3 linked regions of the Kluyveromyces lactis genome follow. The protein of the gene in region 3 interacts with the protein of the main gene of each other region in a pairwise test. Links are inferred from orthologs where the notes say so. Each region holds a gene or a part of one and is shown on either strand. Other genes may lie near its edges.

Evidence for each region. The genes of interacting proteins can lie anywhere in the genome.
Region 1: the proteins of CAF40 (region 3) and POP2 interact in binary tests that used the Saccharomyces cerevisiae proteins (3 or more experiments, as listed by UniProt). The link is inferred for Kluyveromyces lactis from reciprocal best matches to the Saccharomyces cerevisiae genes CAF40 and POP2.
Region 2: the proteins of CAF40 (region 3) and CCR4 interact in binary tests that used the Saccharomyces cerevisiae proteins (3 or more experiments, as listed by UniProt). The link is inferred for Kluyveromyces lactis from reciprocal best matches to the Saccharomyces cerevisiae genes CAF40 and CCR4.

What each region holds. Positions count from the first base shown.
Region 1 is NC_006039.1:1,668,730-1,673,480, forward strand, and holds POP2 (CCR4-NOT core DEDD family RNase subunit POP2), read right to left. Parts: upstream 2,262-4,751; coding exon 918-2,261; downstream 1-917. Other genes in the region: BRE5 (Bre5p), read right to left, coding at 1-66; putative GTPase NOG2, read right to left, coding at 2,716-3,450, 3,931-4,737. UniProt on the Saccharomyces cerevisiae protein: Acts as a probably catalytic component of the CCR4-NOT core complex, which in the nucleus seems to be a general transcription factor, and in the cytoplasm the major mRNA deadenylase involved in mRNA turnover.
Region 2 is NC_006042.1:1,467,768-1,473,418, forward strand, and holds CCR4 (CCR4-NOT core exoribonuclease subunit CCR4), read right to left. Parts: upstream 3,218-5,651; coding exon 845-3,217; downstream 1-844. Other genes in the region: nucleoside transmembrane transporter FUN26, read right to left, coding at 1-219; ATS1 (Ats1p), read right to left, coding at 4,646-5,651. UniProt on the Saccharomyces cerevisiae protein: Acts as a catalytic component of the CCR4-NOT core complex, which in the nucleus seems to be a general transcription factor, and in the cytoplasm the major mRNA deadenylase involved in mRNA turnover.
Region 3 is NC_006041.1:1,170,805-1,175,177, reverse strand, and holds CAF40 (CCR4-NOT core subunit CAF40), read right to left. Parts: upstream 2,223-4,373; coding exon 957-2,222; downstream 1-956. Other genes in the region: SEC21 (coatomer subunit gamma), read right to left, coding at 1-671; PCL1 (Pcl1p), read right to left, coding at 4,191-4,373. UniProt on the Saccharomyces cerevisiae protein: Acts as a component of the CCR4-NOT core complex, which in the nucleus seems to be a general transcription factor, and in the cytoplasm the major mRNA deadenylase involved in mRNA turnover.

The sequences.
Region 1 (4,751 bases), on a different chromosome or scaffold from region 3:
ATGCATACGTTCATAGTACGTCCTTAGGAACGCATATCCGATCTCTTTCACATCGTAAGTGGTCATATTTTCCAAACCAAATGTGATTGTATCAAATTAATCTAAACAGGAAAAAACACACTGGTTCTTGTAAAAGAATTCAACTATTCTTTGATAACTCTCAATTTCAAACCGATCGCGGGTATCAAAAAATCAAATTGGAATGCTAAAGTGTATGAAATGAATGCAATACAGTCAATCGTTGTCAATCAGAAAGACCTTTGAATGAATTAAAAATAAAACTGTCAAACAAAAAAAAAAAAAAGAAGGGAAAAGCACGCTCTAATAACGCTCTAACAACGTTTTAATCCAAGTGTATTAACGGTGGATATTCAAGCAGGAAAGTATAGGGTATACTAGAATACAATAACAAAAAAGTATTAATTTCCTATGGGTGCTTTTTTCCAGACTCACGGGAAATTTCAGCACTACGAACACCGTATATGTGCCTCACGCTTCAAACTTATCGCTAAAGATTAAAGTCTGGTTTCTAATGAATGCATGAAAACCGATAAGCGAACCAAATAGACACCCTAACAACAAGAAACGCCCCTCACAAGCAAAGTATGTGCATGTTTGCATCTAGTGATTATATGTAAAGAGTCAATTTTCAAAATTTTTTAATGGAAAACTCGTCAATCATCTTATGAAATCATGCCTCACGAGATGCCAGGTGAATGAAGTACACAGGTTGCGCTCTTGCAACCTGTGGGTTTCGCACTGGTCAGCATCAGTTCAGTTCAGTGACGGTGGCTAGTCAGCCACCTTTTATACCCTATTTTAAGAATGATTGTGTATGTATATATATATATTCACATACATAAATGCATTATTGATGATACTCTATATGAAAGGCTGGCACATAAAAATCACATATATTACTCCTGTGTGATTCCGTAGATCAGGTTCTTGTAGTAACTGAAATCTGTTCCATTGCGTAGTTTGTACAAAGACAATTTACCGAGTTGGGTGTATGCCAATAGTGCCAAGAGACTTTGTCCCGCTGCGCTGCTGAACAATGGGAAGATCGGAATCCCCAACTCGTCAGCCAGTAGTTCTAGTGTATATTGCTGTTGTTGGTTTTGTTGCTGTTGCTGTTGACTTTGTAATAGATGTAATGGTGGTGGATGTGGGTGTTGTTGCGTTACCTCATGAACTAACTTGTTAATTAGGTTCAAATCGTACGACGTTGGTATGTATTTCTGAACCCACCATTCGAAGTCCTCTTTGTTGTTGGGCATGTTTGTGTTCATGAGCCTGTTGATTAAGAACCCGTAATCGTATGCTGCATGGTAACTGATCCACGTGACCTCATCGTTCAACAATAACCCGGAATCCATCATCAACTGAGCAAACTCGTCGAAATCAACACCGTTCTGTTGATGTCTCTCCAAGATGACACCGGATTTCTTTAATAGTTCTAACGATTCCGAATTCACGGTCTCCTTTGTTACGTCGAAATGGAAGTTGAATTGCCATGTGGATGGGAAGTTGTCTGGTTTATTCCCCTGTAAATCGCTTAACGAAAGTCCAATCTGGATTGGGGTTAGTAGATCCACGTTGGATCTCATCGTCTGGTAATGGTAATCTGTCTTTGAGCGGAAATTCCCAATGGGTCTCGCTATCGTACCGACAAACTCGGTGCTTATAGAAATAACTTTGTATTGCTCGATCATTTTACGGATTATGGCAAACTCGAAGTTTACGTTGTTTTGCCACACTTCTCTGATCAAAAGATGCGCTGGAGACGAGATTGGCGTATGAGATGCATTAGGTAATGGTGTTGTATCAAGCCCGTTCACGTTTCCCATTGCCTGTTGTTGTACCGGCATTGGAAATTGCATCTGCTGTGGAATCGTATTGTTATTAGAGTTACCACCGGAAATGCTGTTCTGCATCATCATAGGAACTTGCCCATTATTCGGCAACGGCATTTTTCCCGGTTGCTGCTGCTGCTGTAAGTTGTTTTGCTGCCCAAAAGCACTGTTTACCACATCCATCTTCTGTTTCAACAAGTACGAATTTTGAAGACCCCCATTGTTCTCAAGCCCATGCAGCACATGTGGTTGTTGCGACTGTTGAGGCATCATACGAGTACTATTCATAGAAGGGGAGAAAAGCATCCCGTTCATCCCAACTGGCCCTTGCTGCTGAACAGCGCCCTTCCCGAAAAATTGCTCCGAATTTGGCAATCCTCCGAGCTGACTATTAAGAGATTGCATTAAAATTCTATCGTACTTACTGGAGTAGTCCTAAATGACAACTCTTAAATCAGAATTGAATCGTATTCCAACCATATATGTCTCTGTCTCTTCCTTATCTAATGCTAAAGGCTTTCCTGTTTCGTTCCTCTTTGGCAGAAACAGAATTTTCGAGGGAAATGTCATTGTGTACGGTGTTGATATTACCACTGGCACCACTTCTCAATGGACAGTGGACCCGAATGGGTCCATTGTCCAGTGTTTCTGCCCCTGATCTGCATGCTTCACAACGTTCGGTGTTATCCAGCCTTTCTACTATTTATTTAATAAATTTCTATGTGCAAGACTTAGCCTAAGTCATCCGATTGATATTAATGTACAAAAACGATAGATCCGATAAGATTGTATATGGTGTGTCTATATATAAAGCGATGCCCGTGTCTGGAGAGAATTAAATATTGAGGAAGTGTTTGGTTTATTCCTTTTTGGCCTTTTTAGAAACAGGTTCTTCTTGTTCCTCTTGCTCCTTCTCTTCCTCTTCTTGATCTTCTTGATTTTCCTCTGCAGGACGTTTCTTATCACCAGGTTCCTTTTCCTCAATCTTGTCCTTCTCTGGTGGTGGTACGAACCATGGGATCTTACCTCTGTTGAAATCGTTCAAGATTTGTTTCGATACCCCGCTTTCATCTGGTTCACCACCTTTCAATAGTCTACCTTGCTTTCTTGCAATCATTTCGATGAAATCTACAGAGTCTTTCCATCCGGAGATCTCATAGGTTCTTTCCAAATGTTGTCTCTTACAACGTTTTAGAATACCTGGAATGTATTGTTCAGGATGCGAAACGTGTTCAACTCTTACCACACCTCTGAATAGAATATCCTCTTCACTGTCCTTGCTGGATGGCGGTACAATACCGGGACAATCGATTAAAAAGATTCTCTTCATCAAAGTTATGTATTGCCACACCTTAGTTTCACCAGGAATAGGTGCCACTTGACAGACCTTCTTTTTCCTTAGAGTGTTGATGATTGAGGATTTACCGGTGTTTGGATATCCAATGAACCCAACAGAGATTTGATGTCTGTCCTTATGCAGTTGTGAGAATTGACGTAGAAGTTGAATTAACGAACCCTTACCAAATGAATTGGTAATAGAGGCATGGAATGCCAATGTGGGACGTTCCTTCGATAGATGTTTTACCCATGCTGCCTGTTGAGAATCAAAAATAGGGAAAATCGTGTTAGTAAAATTGTAATCACATATGTGAATCAATAACCAATTATGCTTTCTACTGGGGGTTGACTCCATGCTGTATTGAGTATATTAGTGGTGATGTGAGGTTCTTTACTACGAGCCATGGCATAATAATTCTTTTCAGATCCAAAGCTCAACTCTTAAGTTCCTCCGTACCCGAAATAAAAGCGCTGATATATCCTCAAAACGAAGATTGTTCAACTAGGTTTCAACCATGACTCCATCAAAACGATGGATAGATCGAGGGTGGGTAGTATTGCTCTTCCAAAACTGTAACAGGCCCTTCTGTATGTGTAAGTTGTACTAGAATGTACGCAGAAACACCCTGACAAAGAATTTTGGTATTCTCAAGATACTGTGGTATTCACTCCCAGTTAGAAAGTATAATCGGTTAGTAGTAATCACTGAAGATTAAAAAGAAAGTTTAAAACATACGGCAACCCATGTAGGAACAAGATCACACTTGTTCAAGACGTATATCAAATGTTTATGAGGAGTCTCATTGGTCATGTAATCAGTCACCGATTTACAACGAGTCCCCAAAGGATCTCTAGCATCCAATACGTGGATGACGACATCGGAGGAATCGATAACCTTGTACAATTCGTTCCAAATACGTTTCGACTGACCTTTGTGGAAAATGGCTTCCTTTGCTGCCTGCGTCCAACCGTCTTCTTCCTCTTGCTTACCCATAAGCCCCAGAGTAGAATCCAATTCTTGCTTTTCTTCAAAAGTCTTATTATCGGTAGAAGTACTTGAAATCAACTCTTCCAACGACGACGCAGCGATTCTTGGTTTCTTCCTCTGAGCCTTAGGCCCAAAAGTTTGTTCAAAGGGCTCTGTCTCCAAAATCTTTGCCGTTGGAGATTCAGCGGAATCCTTTTCGTTCAACAACGACATCGGAAGTTTATTTCTTCTCAATAGCACCTGATAAGAATCACGCTTGTTCTCGCCCAAAGCTTCTCTGAAATGGCTCAATGAATCCTGAGAAATAACTCTGGTATTACCAAACCATCTACGGTCAGGAGCCACTCTTGCTGTTGGAGCAGCAGTATCCTGCAACGGAGCAGCCTTGATAATGTCACCCTTTGCATTACGAACAGATCTACCACCTTTGTACATGTTCAAAAACTGCACTCTCTTGGTGTCCCTGTAGAAATTCTCACCCTTCACACGAAGGTTACCATCCTTGGTATTACCTTCGCGGATTCTCCTTTGCTTTTCCTTCTTACCGGTACCCATTGTGCCTTGGTATA
Region 2 (5,651 bases), on a different chromosome or scaffold from region 3:
GTCTTGAAATACATCATGCTGGAAATATAATGACGCACTTAAGAATGAGTTCCACGGCCAAAGTAATGCAATACCGATAAGGAAAAATGCAAGATAATTAGTATCAGTAAGCTTGATGTATGTAGATTCTTTGGAAAGGTCCTTGGTTTGTATTTGGGAAATAGGATCATTTAATGCAGTTCCCGTTATTGGAGTTTCGTCATTTTCTTCTAGTTCCATAATTCGATGAAATATTTGGTGTATTAATTTTCCCCTTGAGTCTATTTATTCAAAATACAGACCAGCCAATGTATATATTGACCAAGTACTAATTAAAATCCCTTCATCAGTAATTTTGTAGCTTGCATCATTATGTTTTCCCATAAAACAACAATTTTCTGAAGGAATTCCTGTTTAGTTTCCAAAAATATGATAAGGAATTTACAAAAAAATCACTTAATCCGTCCAGAGACAGGAAAAGAAAAAGTGAGAAAGCCTGTCAGTTATACTTGGAATAGACTTTAAAACATTAATATACAGAAGAAAATAAAGACTAACGTTATAAATGATGAAGTATTAGTTGAAATGATGGGATAAACCGGTTTTAACATCCTAAAAAAAAAAGGCACTTCTTAGAATATCATTTCTTTGGTGGATTTTACCGGCACATATGGTTTTGTTGTATCAATTGAGAAAGGACACAAGATGTCTGATGTATCTTCTATTGATAACGTTAAATGAAATTTACAATTACAAGAGCAGGATGAAAGTGAATGTGGCAATAACTGGTATAGATATCTTGATAAAGCCAGCAATAAAGGGAACAAAAAGAAGTGAAACATGATTGTAAATAAAATTAGTACAATTACACTTTCCTGCTGGATGTTTGGGTGGCGTTACCCCTTGAAATTTCAAATCTTGTGACAAGAGGGATGTGGTCACTTGGGAACTTATCGTTAGGGAACCCAATAAACTTGGATGCATACTCCTCGTCGATCTTCCCTAGTAATCCGCGAACACGTAGTGATTGAGAGGAATACCAGATATAATCGATGACGTCGGTGAAGGAGGGTGTCATATTTGTGAATGGTAGTTCACCAATGGCGCCGTAACTTGATCTGAGCGACAAATTATGCGAGAAATTCTTCTGTGACATATAACCGAAATCTCTTTGATCAATATCTTTATGGTTTGCCGTGACGTGACCACTGTTGAATAATTCTACAACAGCAGAGTCTAATTGGGAGTTAAAATCACCACAGATGACCATAGGAATCTTCTTTATGTCATTGTTATTGTTTACATGGTGGTGCTGTTTGATTAAAGTCTCTAAATAGTCCAGCATCACGCCAACTTGGAAAGTTTTAACATCATTAAATTGTGGATCCCAATGTAAATGAGTAGTGACCACCCACACATTTTCGTTTGTATTCAAATGCTTTAGTTCTGCGATTAGCGCAACATTGTCCTTATTCATAGCACGATTCAAATAATCTTCTGTACGATGGAATTTTTTATGGCTTCTCCAAGCAGAACTAAAATCAATTGAATCTTGGAAGACCAATTGGAATTGATCCTTCTTGTAGAAAATAGCACAACCATCGACCTTTTTGGAATCCTTGGCGTGCATTGTCTTGGCTCTGGTCTTAGCGTGGAACAAGCAACTATAGTTATATTTTTCCATAAGAGGAACCCAATATTCCTCATATGTTAAAGTTTCAACTTCTTGCAAACATATAACATCTGTGTCAAAATCTAGTAACTGTTCTTTCAACTTTTCTCTTCTGTAATCCCAGCTTAACGCCCAAGATGGAGTGAAACGGTACATCTTTGGAGTAGCATAATGATGACACAACGTATTGTAAGATAACAATGTGAAGCTATTCTTCAATAAAGTATTGTTCATGTGATTTGTATTCTCTTGTAATGACTCGTATTCGTTAGTTGGCTCGCCATCAGCTGATATTTCAATAAATTTTCTATCCTTGGCATATGGGATTTCAGGCGCATTATCTCTGAGGTAAAAGATTAATCCAGTGACAGACTTTTCAGCTATAATTTTCACGAGTTGTTTATCAAGAGGATTGCCCTCCAAACCCAAAAACTGCAAGTTAAACAAATTACCAAATTCCCAGGGGATTGTTGTGATCATATTGTCAAAGAAATATAAATATTTCAACTGATAGCACATACCTAACTCTTTTGGTAGTTCTGTCAACCTATTATGAGACAAGTCTAACACTCTTAGATTTCTGAGTTTTTTGATGGAAGAGGGTAATGAAGTAAGGCTATTACCATTTAAATATAAACGTGTCAAAAATTCGTAATGGAACAGTTTTTCGTTAAGATTGAAAAGGGCCAAGTTGGAAAGGTCTAACGCGTGCCATAATTGATCATCATGTTTAGAGTTCGTTGGAGCTACCATGCGATGTTCAATTTCATCGTCTTCGTCGATATTATATTGAGACAGCTTCTTGTGTTGCAGAAGTAGAGAAGGTGTATTTGGATGAAGCTCTGCTTTTGGAGTATTCGGAGTTGAGAACCCTGTAGAGTTTAGATCAGAATTGACATTAACAGCAGATGCAGTAGCTTCATTACCGGATGAGGCCATCTCCATAAGATGTTGTTTAGTGTGCTCGACTAAAGACATGGATGCGTCATTACCTAAAGGTTGCTGACCTTGTTGCTGACCAGATTGACTTGGTTGTTGTTGCTGGCCCTGCTGCTGTTGTGACTGAACGCCATCTTGGCCATTAGTAGACAGTCCCAACTGATTTTGATTATTTAAGAACTTCTTCATGGCGTTTTGTCTAGCATACACATTCGATTGACCCAAAGACTGTCTGGAAACTGCAGCCAATTGAAGCTGTAACTTCCAAATTGGTGAATTCAACAACGAGGGGTCCGCTAAATGTGGATGGCATAACGGATTATTAGCATTGGACAATTGCTGAGCCACTAACGCAGCCTGGGCTGCATTAGGTGTTCCAACATTAGGAGGACCCACAGCTTGCTGTGGTCCCCCTGCACCGCCAGTTATCACATTCTGAACCTGGTTCATCATCATAGGAAGGACATTGTTTAGTTGGGCCGGCTGATGTTGGTTTCCTTGATTTCCCATCAAACCTGGCGGATGCTGGTGAAGCTGCTGAGTAACAGCTTGCGGCGTACCCACCATCTGAGGCACCGCTTGCCCAGCAGGTTTCTGGAATCCTGACAAGGGAGGCGGATAATTCATTTGCACCAATTCAATTATAATGTGTTGATAATAGTTTCAATTTTTTTCACTGCTGTTATTCGTTGATTCCTGTTTAAACTTCTATTCGTTGTTATTTCCAGCTTTTCTAAATATCAATATCAGTTTAGAATCTTACAACTCTCAAAATATGCCCAATGACCAGTTCTTATTTCTTAATATGTTTTCGGTTTAGTATCTCGATTATATTAAATTCTCCTCTTATATCAAATAAAAAAAGCACAGTCAGTACAGTAATAACTAGTCGTCTGATGAGGCTGTAAAGCTTCCTTAGTTGCCGAAGTCTATGTCTTTTAATGTTTAATGTTTTAATTTCAATATAAGATTTATTTAGTTCTTTCAAAGAAAAAACAAAGTCTTAAAAACCGTTTGATAAAAGGAAAACAAGAAAAAACACTCAGTAGAACCTGTGCAGAAGTGGAAACAAAGAGAGGTAACAATATTAGTGAGTGGTAAATAAAGAACCGGGGCACAGGTAGATGCACAATTGGTGTAGCTCTGATCTTTAAATGCCAATGTTCTTTTCTATGTTGTTGAGAATATTCCAGTTTCTGTAACTATCGGGGGTTAGAGCTTGCTTGTTACTGAAGAAGTGACAGCTGTTGCCACTCTGGTCTCGATACGCTCTACTCTGAGCTTTCGTCATTTTGATCGTTTTATTATATTACCCGGACCACATATCTGATTATGGCGAGGATTATCAACAGTTGTACTATTACCCGGACTTAATTTATTCGTGTAACGATACGCGGGTTACTATTGTTCACGGATATAGCAAGATAGCATAACAATAAAACAGTACAAGAGATTCCTGATTTGCGATAGTTATAATAGGTGCTCTAATATTACGAGCAATACCCAGTTAATTGCAGTAAATAAACCATTTACAGTTACTAAGGCCCTATTTCTTGTGAAGGACTTATGTATAAAAAGAAAAATTGAACGTTTTAAAATAAAAAAAACGAAAAGTATCTGAAAGTTCATCGCACACAACATACTTACAATATGATAACTCGTTATTAACAGTTGTATCGTTTATTATTTTTCTTCTAAAAAGATCAGTAAGAACTTGGATAAGTGATTATCTGGGTTCTTGCAAGGGACTTTTAAAGAAACTGGGCTACTAATCATCGTATTGATTTATCTTTCTCTGTTGTTTTCGAATAGGAAAGTGTGATTTTTACTTTGATTTCTAGTTGTTTGGGTGATACGAGTCTCTAGACATCAATAATCAAGAAGTCTATACATATTTTCCATGTGAGCCGCCTGGTATTTTCATTAATTGCCATGGTTGTATATTTTATATTTTCAACATGAATATGGGAAAGGTACTTCTTAACATTTTGTTACATAGATGCATATATACATTAGAGAGCGTTCTTCTCTTTGCTAAGAGAAAATAATCGGTGCTCACGTAACCAACACTAACCATGTGGTCGCACATCCTCCGAAGATGCTAACAACTTTTTCGTATTTTCCTATCATATTAAGGGGGCTGATAACGTTACTCTTGTCATTGATCGGATTTGTCTCTGTCTTGAATAAAGACCCACAATTACCGTGCTCTCCCCAGCCCCAACAATATACTTTCATGTCAGCAGTAGTTACTACCCCATGCTCACTACCAGTAACAAAATCCAGAGTTTCTGAAGGCAGAGGTTCTTCCAAAAACTGGCCATGAGAACCTCGTCCAATGGATATAAGCTTTCGTTCACCAGTAAGAATGTGTAACGAGGACCACATAGAGTCAATCTTGGCAATTGATCCGAAATCATGCGACAACTGTGATATCAATTCGGGAAGTTCTTTTGCTAATGACCCTTTTATAATTAATTTATTTTCAGTTCTGGAAAGTACACAGGTAAAGTCCTTTCCTAAAGCCATCTCGATATCAGACGTATCCCCCTCATAAATCACCTTTGGTTCCTCAATGATTTTCAAGGCTGAGTCGTCACACACTTGTAGCTTCCTATTATTGCCCCATCCGTATATCTTCTCCGGAACAACCACTACGCAATGCTGGAAAGTTGCATAACATCGGGAGCCTTTTGGATCTTCACATCGGAACAGATCAATCCATTCTGTACTGTGTTTCAACCTAGGTACCCCTAATTCGCCTTTATCACCCCTTCCACGGGTTTTAACCCAGCCATCCTCATCAATAACTATAGTAACTTCCCAACCACATGCAATATCGAGAAATTTCCCTGGAATAGGGATCCATTCGAGACTTATTTTAATGTCACTGGAAGCGCATTGACCAGAAGAGTTATCGCCACACCAATACAACGACCCATCTTCTAATAATAGTAGCGAATGGTTGCCCCCACATGACACTTTTTTAATACCAACACCATCACTTTGAAAGCTCAATTGAGGCAGCATCAAGTCCTCATCGTGTCCTACACCCAATTGG
Region 3 (4,373 bases):
AAAGCCATCTTATCGTGATTCTTCAATTGGTACAACAAACCCAATGCATGGTATTGAGAGATATGAGACGTAGTTGGATAATATCTACTGTTCTCATCTGGATATGGCAACTGTTTCAAATCACCAACGGCTTCCTGAGTCTCATTAGCAAATCTCTTCACCGTAGTTTCAGCGATTGGTAATAAATGGTATGAACTGACCAAAGAAGCAGAACAAATAGATGGATGTTTGCTAACCAACGAATTTTTCAATAATCTTTCTGCAGAAAATGCAGTGGACTCATCCAAGACACGGATCAATGCTCTAATAGCATTAGGCTTCACTAGATCTGAACCATTTTGAACATCTTTCATAATTGAAGAAGTAGCCATCAAGATATCATCGGAGATTCCACACAATTCCTTAATAGCCACGTAAACGATTTGTCTCAAAGAATCGTTAGGGTGTTGGAACAATTTCGAAATGGAAAAGAATAAAGCAGTAGCTTCTTGTCTAGGGAAAGTCTCACCATGCGACAATAGTTCCAACAAGCTTGTGATCAGGGTACGGCACAGTTTAGGATTCACAGGAGATTCATTGAACCGATTCAAACAATCCTGATAGATCGCCATTTTGTCTGGCAAGGACCCACTGTGTGGGTCCTCAGACTTCTTATAAGTTTGTGCAGACATGCAATTGGCAGTGCTAGGATACCTTCAAATGACGTACTAACCTTTAGTAGCCAATTTTGAGCCTATTAACCTCGTGTTTTATCCAATTCTTTTTGCCGTGTGGTATGGTATATATTTATATTCATAATGTTTTCAGTTTGCAAATCGGTAGAAGTCCTTTGGAATGAAAAAAAAAGTGAAGCGGGTGTGTGAAAGTGAGGGTAACACTTGTTTTTTAATTATGATATATATGTATATATATATATATATATGGATATGGAGATATATATGATATAGCAGGCAAGATCACTGCTGCTGTTCATCTAGAGTCAGGAGTAGTTGTGCAAGACATCTCTTGGTACCTACATCGTCCTGTAGTGCTTCATTGAAGGTGTTATCTCTTAGTTGTTGCGGCAAAACTTGTTTCAACAATCTTCTGGCTTCTAAATTATCCGATAATCTTAGGTAGCATCTTACAACATGTTTCAATAATCTTCCCGGCACCTGTTGTTGGGACATGTGCTTAAACATAGTTGCCAAAACTTGTGACACCGCGTAGAACCGTTCTGGGGTCGCGCATACGAACTGGAGTCCGTTATCGTCTAATAATATTTTCTGTAAGATGAAGATAGCGACGATCTTCGAAAGTTCTGAAGAGTTTTCCATGATTCTTAAACATAATGGGATAATATCTGTCCTTAGAAGGAAACTGATCACTTCTGCAGAATCGTTTTTCACTAGAGCACCGATGACACCTAGTGAAGTTAGCCTTAAATATTCAAAAGTTCTTTGGTTTGATGTCGTAGATAAGAATGGGAAAAGGAACAACGGGATGTGAGCCTGTAAGAATTGAGGCCTGATATCTGGGTGTGATGCGACACATTGTAAGAGCACCAAAGCGTTGCATACGCGGTTTGATAACTGGTTTGATAATGCAGGAGGTGAAAGAAGCGGATAAATTGAAATTATTTCCTTTAGCAACGACGTCATCACACCGAAACTGGACCACAGCACGATAGCCAAATCCTCATACTGTTCACGTTTCTTACCTAGTTCTAGAAGCGCTTGTTCTTTGCTTGGCCCGTAAGTGAGCTGGCATATCCAATGGTAGACATTTGGATCATCTAGCGCATGTGTTATTCCTGCTGGTGTGGGACCTGGCCCAGGAACTGAACTTGGTCCTGCAGTTGGCCCTTGGCCCATCCCAGGCATCTGACCTGGAAGTTGGTTGTTTTCTACTACTGGGTGGGGCATTCCTTGTTGCAAACCAGGAGGCATATTTTGGGGTTGCTGTTGTTGCTGTTGGCCCTGGGTTTGATTTTGACCCTGAGCCTGCCCTTGAGGCTGGCCTTGACCCTGGCCTTGGTTATTTGGGAAGTAAGGTTTCAATTGTGGGAAATATTTCCTGCGGGTTTGTTCCGAGAACACATTCCCCTGAGCTTGAGCCGCTTGAGCCTGGGGTTGCTGTTGAAACATGGCAGATGATAATTGCGGGTGTTCTACCTGATGCACAAGCTGGATGATGTGTCCTTCCCTGAGACAATGCTGAATATTGCCTATTCTACATACCATATATATACAGAGATGCGAATTATCAACACTTTTAAGTTGAAAAGATGTGCTAAGTTGTGGAAACTGAGGTTGTTATGAAATCCGGGTAATAAGACAACGAAAGTTTAAACACAAAACAAAACACGCCCAGACATTGTTCAATATGACGAAACACTGAATAAAAGAAGAAGCATATTAATTATTAAGTATTAGACAATATATAAAGATGTATATTAAGTTGGTGATAGTAGGAATAATAATAGAGGAGAATGGGGTTAAGATTATAATTTGGAATGTTAGAATTACTTTAATAGTTGATTAAAAATAAAATAAAAAAAGCGGAAGCTTTTTTTGTTTTTATTTTAACTTTAGTTAAACAACTTCTTCAACTTACCCAACCATTTCTTGGAAAAAGATTGAGATTCCTTCTTGACATCTTCAGCTTTGGCTTGAGCTTGTTCTTGAGTTTCCTCAGCCTTAGCTTGAGCTTGTTCTTGAGTCTCTTCAGCTTGTTGTTGAGCTTCTTGAGCAGTTTCCTCAGCATTTTGTTGAACTTCTTCAACCTTATCTTGGATAGCTTCTCTTTGTTCTTCGATCTTGTCAGACATTGTTAACTGTATGTGTTACTTAGTTGTTGTTTCTTGCTGTTTTAAAATATGTCAGACAGAACAATTAAAATTATCCCAAAAACAACCGCCAATGGTATGGGAAAAGGCATCGCATCTTAAACTTTGTTTTCCTCTATTTATATGTGTGAAACTGGGAGTCCGGTATTAGAGCGAGGGCAAGGGATCTCAGGGATCATCCCAGCACCGAGACACGGACATTCACTCGGACATGGAAGTGGTATGACATTACATTACACGGTCCAGAGGGCTAATCCTAAAGTAGCGTAGACGTTTCCTACTTTTAGAACGCGCCCTCCGCTGCTACTGCATTTTAAGTGAATATGCGGTCCAAATTGTTGTTTTTGATTTTCATTTGATTGATGCGTTTATGGGTCTATGGGTGTATCGATGAGCTAGAATTATTTCGGTTCAAAAGACAAAACGGGGGCGGGCGCGGTTCTGTGTCCCAGACATGCTCTAAGACATAGCCCCCTTTGCATTCTGGGTGTCCTGTTGTCGAGTTTTTTCCACAACGTTCCATGGGAAAGGGCAAGCGAAGGGAAGAAAAAAAAATTTTTTTTCTTACTACAATGGGAAGTTGATTTCCCATTGTAAGGTGTGCGGCATTACCCGGGGATTGTCTCGTGTGGAAGACATTCGCCCTCGGACAATTACTGGAAGTGGCAATAACGACGCGGATAGCGGTGTTCCCGGTTGGCGCTATATAACACGCAGCTTTGAGGGTTGTTTACGTCACGTGATGGTGTACCATCACGTGATACTCTTTTTCTTATATTTTGTATGGAACGGATTTTTGGCATCACGTGACATTGGCTATCATATCAAAGAAACGGCCTCTAGCGAGGCCGTTGCTCCTAGTACGGTTTCTTAAATACAGTTTTCTTAAATACAAACTTGCAGGCCTCTCAGTAAACGTTCCTCAGAAATTTGGGTATACTTAATGCTTCAGAGTGCTAGAGTACATTTTAGCACGTTCAGACTGGTGCACAGCGTTTCTCTCGTCTTTGGAACCTCAAGACGCAATATACTTATCGCGACCTTGTTACTGATGTGCCTTCAACACTAACTCCAACATCGCCCGATGTTGGTAGTTGTTGCCTGCTCTTTTCAGCTTCATATATATCTGTAAAATGCTCATTAACAAGTAATATATGTACTTAGTGCAGAGGACCTGCCTCTATTTATACAAATTTAGGAAGTGAAAAATTTTTGCTTGGGAAAAGTTACCCGGGACAGTAGATGTAAAGAAATCCGTTTCCATATTGATTATAGGGCATCGCCTAATGCGATGAGCCATGCTAGGTGACCAAGGGCACACACACCCCTTGTTATCTAGCACTATTATATTTAAAAGCTACTGTTATGTGTATATTGTAGGGTCGGTGTGCTGTACCGGCCGTACAGTGTTATAGTACCGAGGATCCATCGTATACTTCTTGTAGTTCATTTCCTCGGTGTATGTCGGAGATGACAGTGTCGATGATGACGACGACGATGACGATTCGTATTCCTTCAGTATATCCAAACTGTTAATGGATCCACT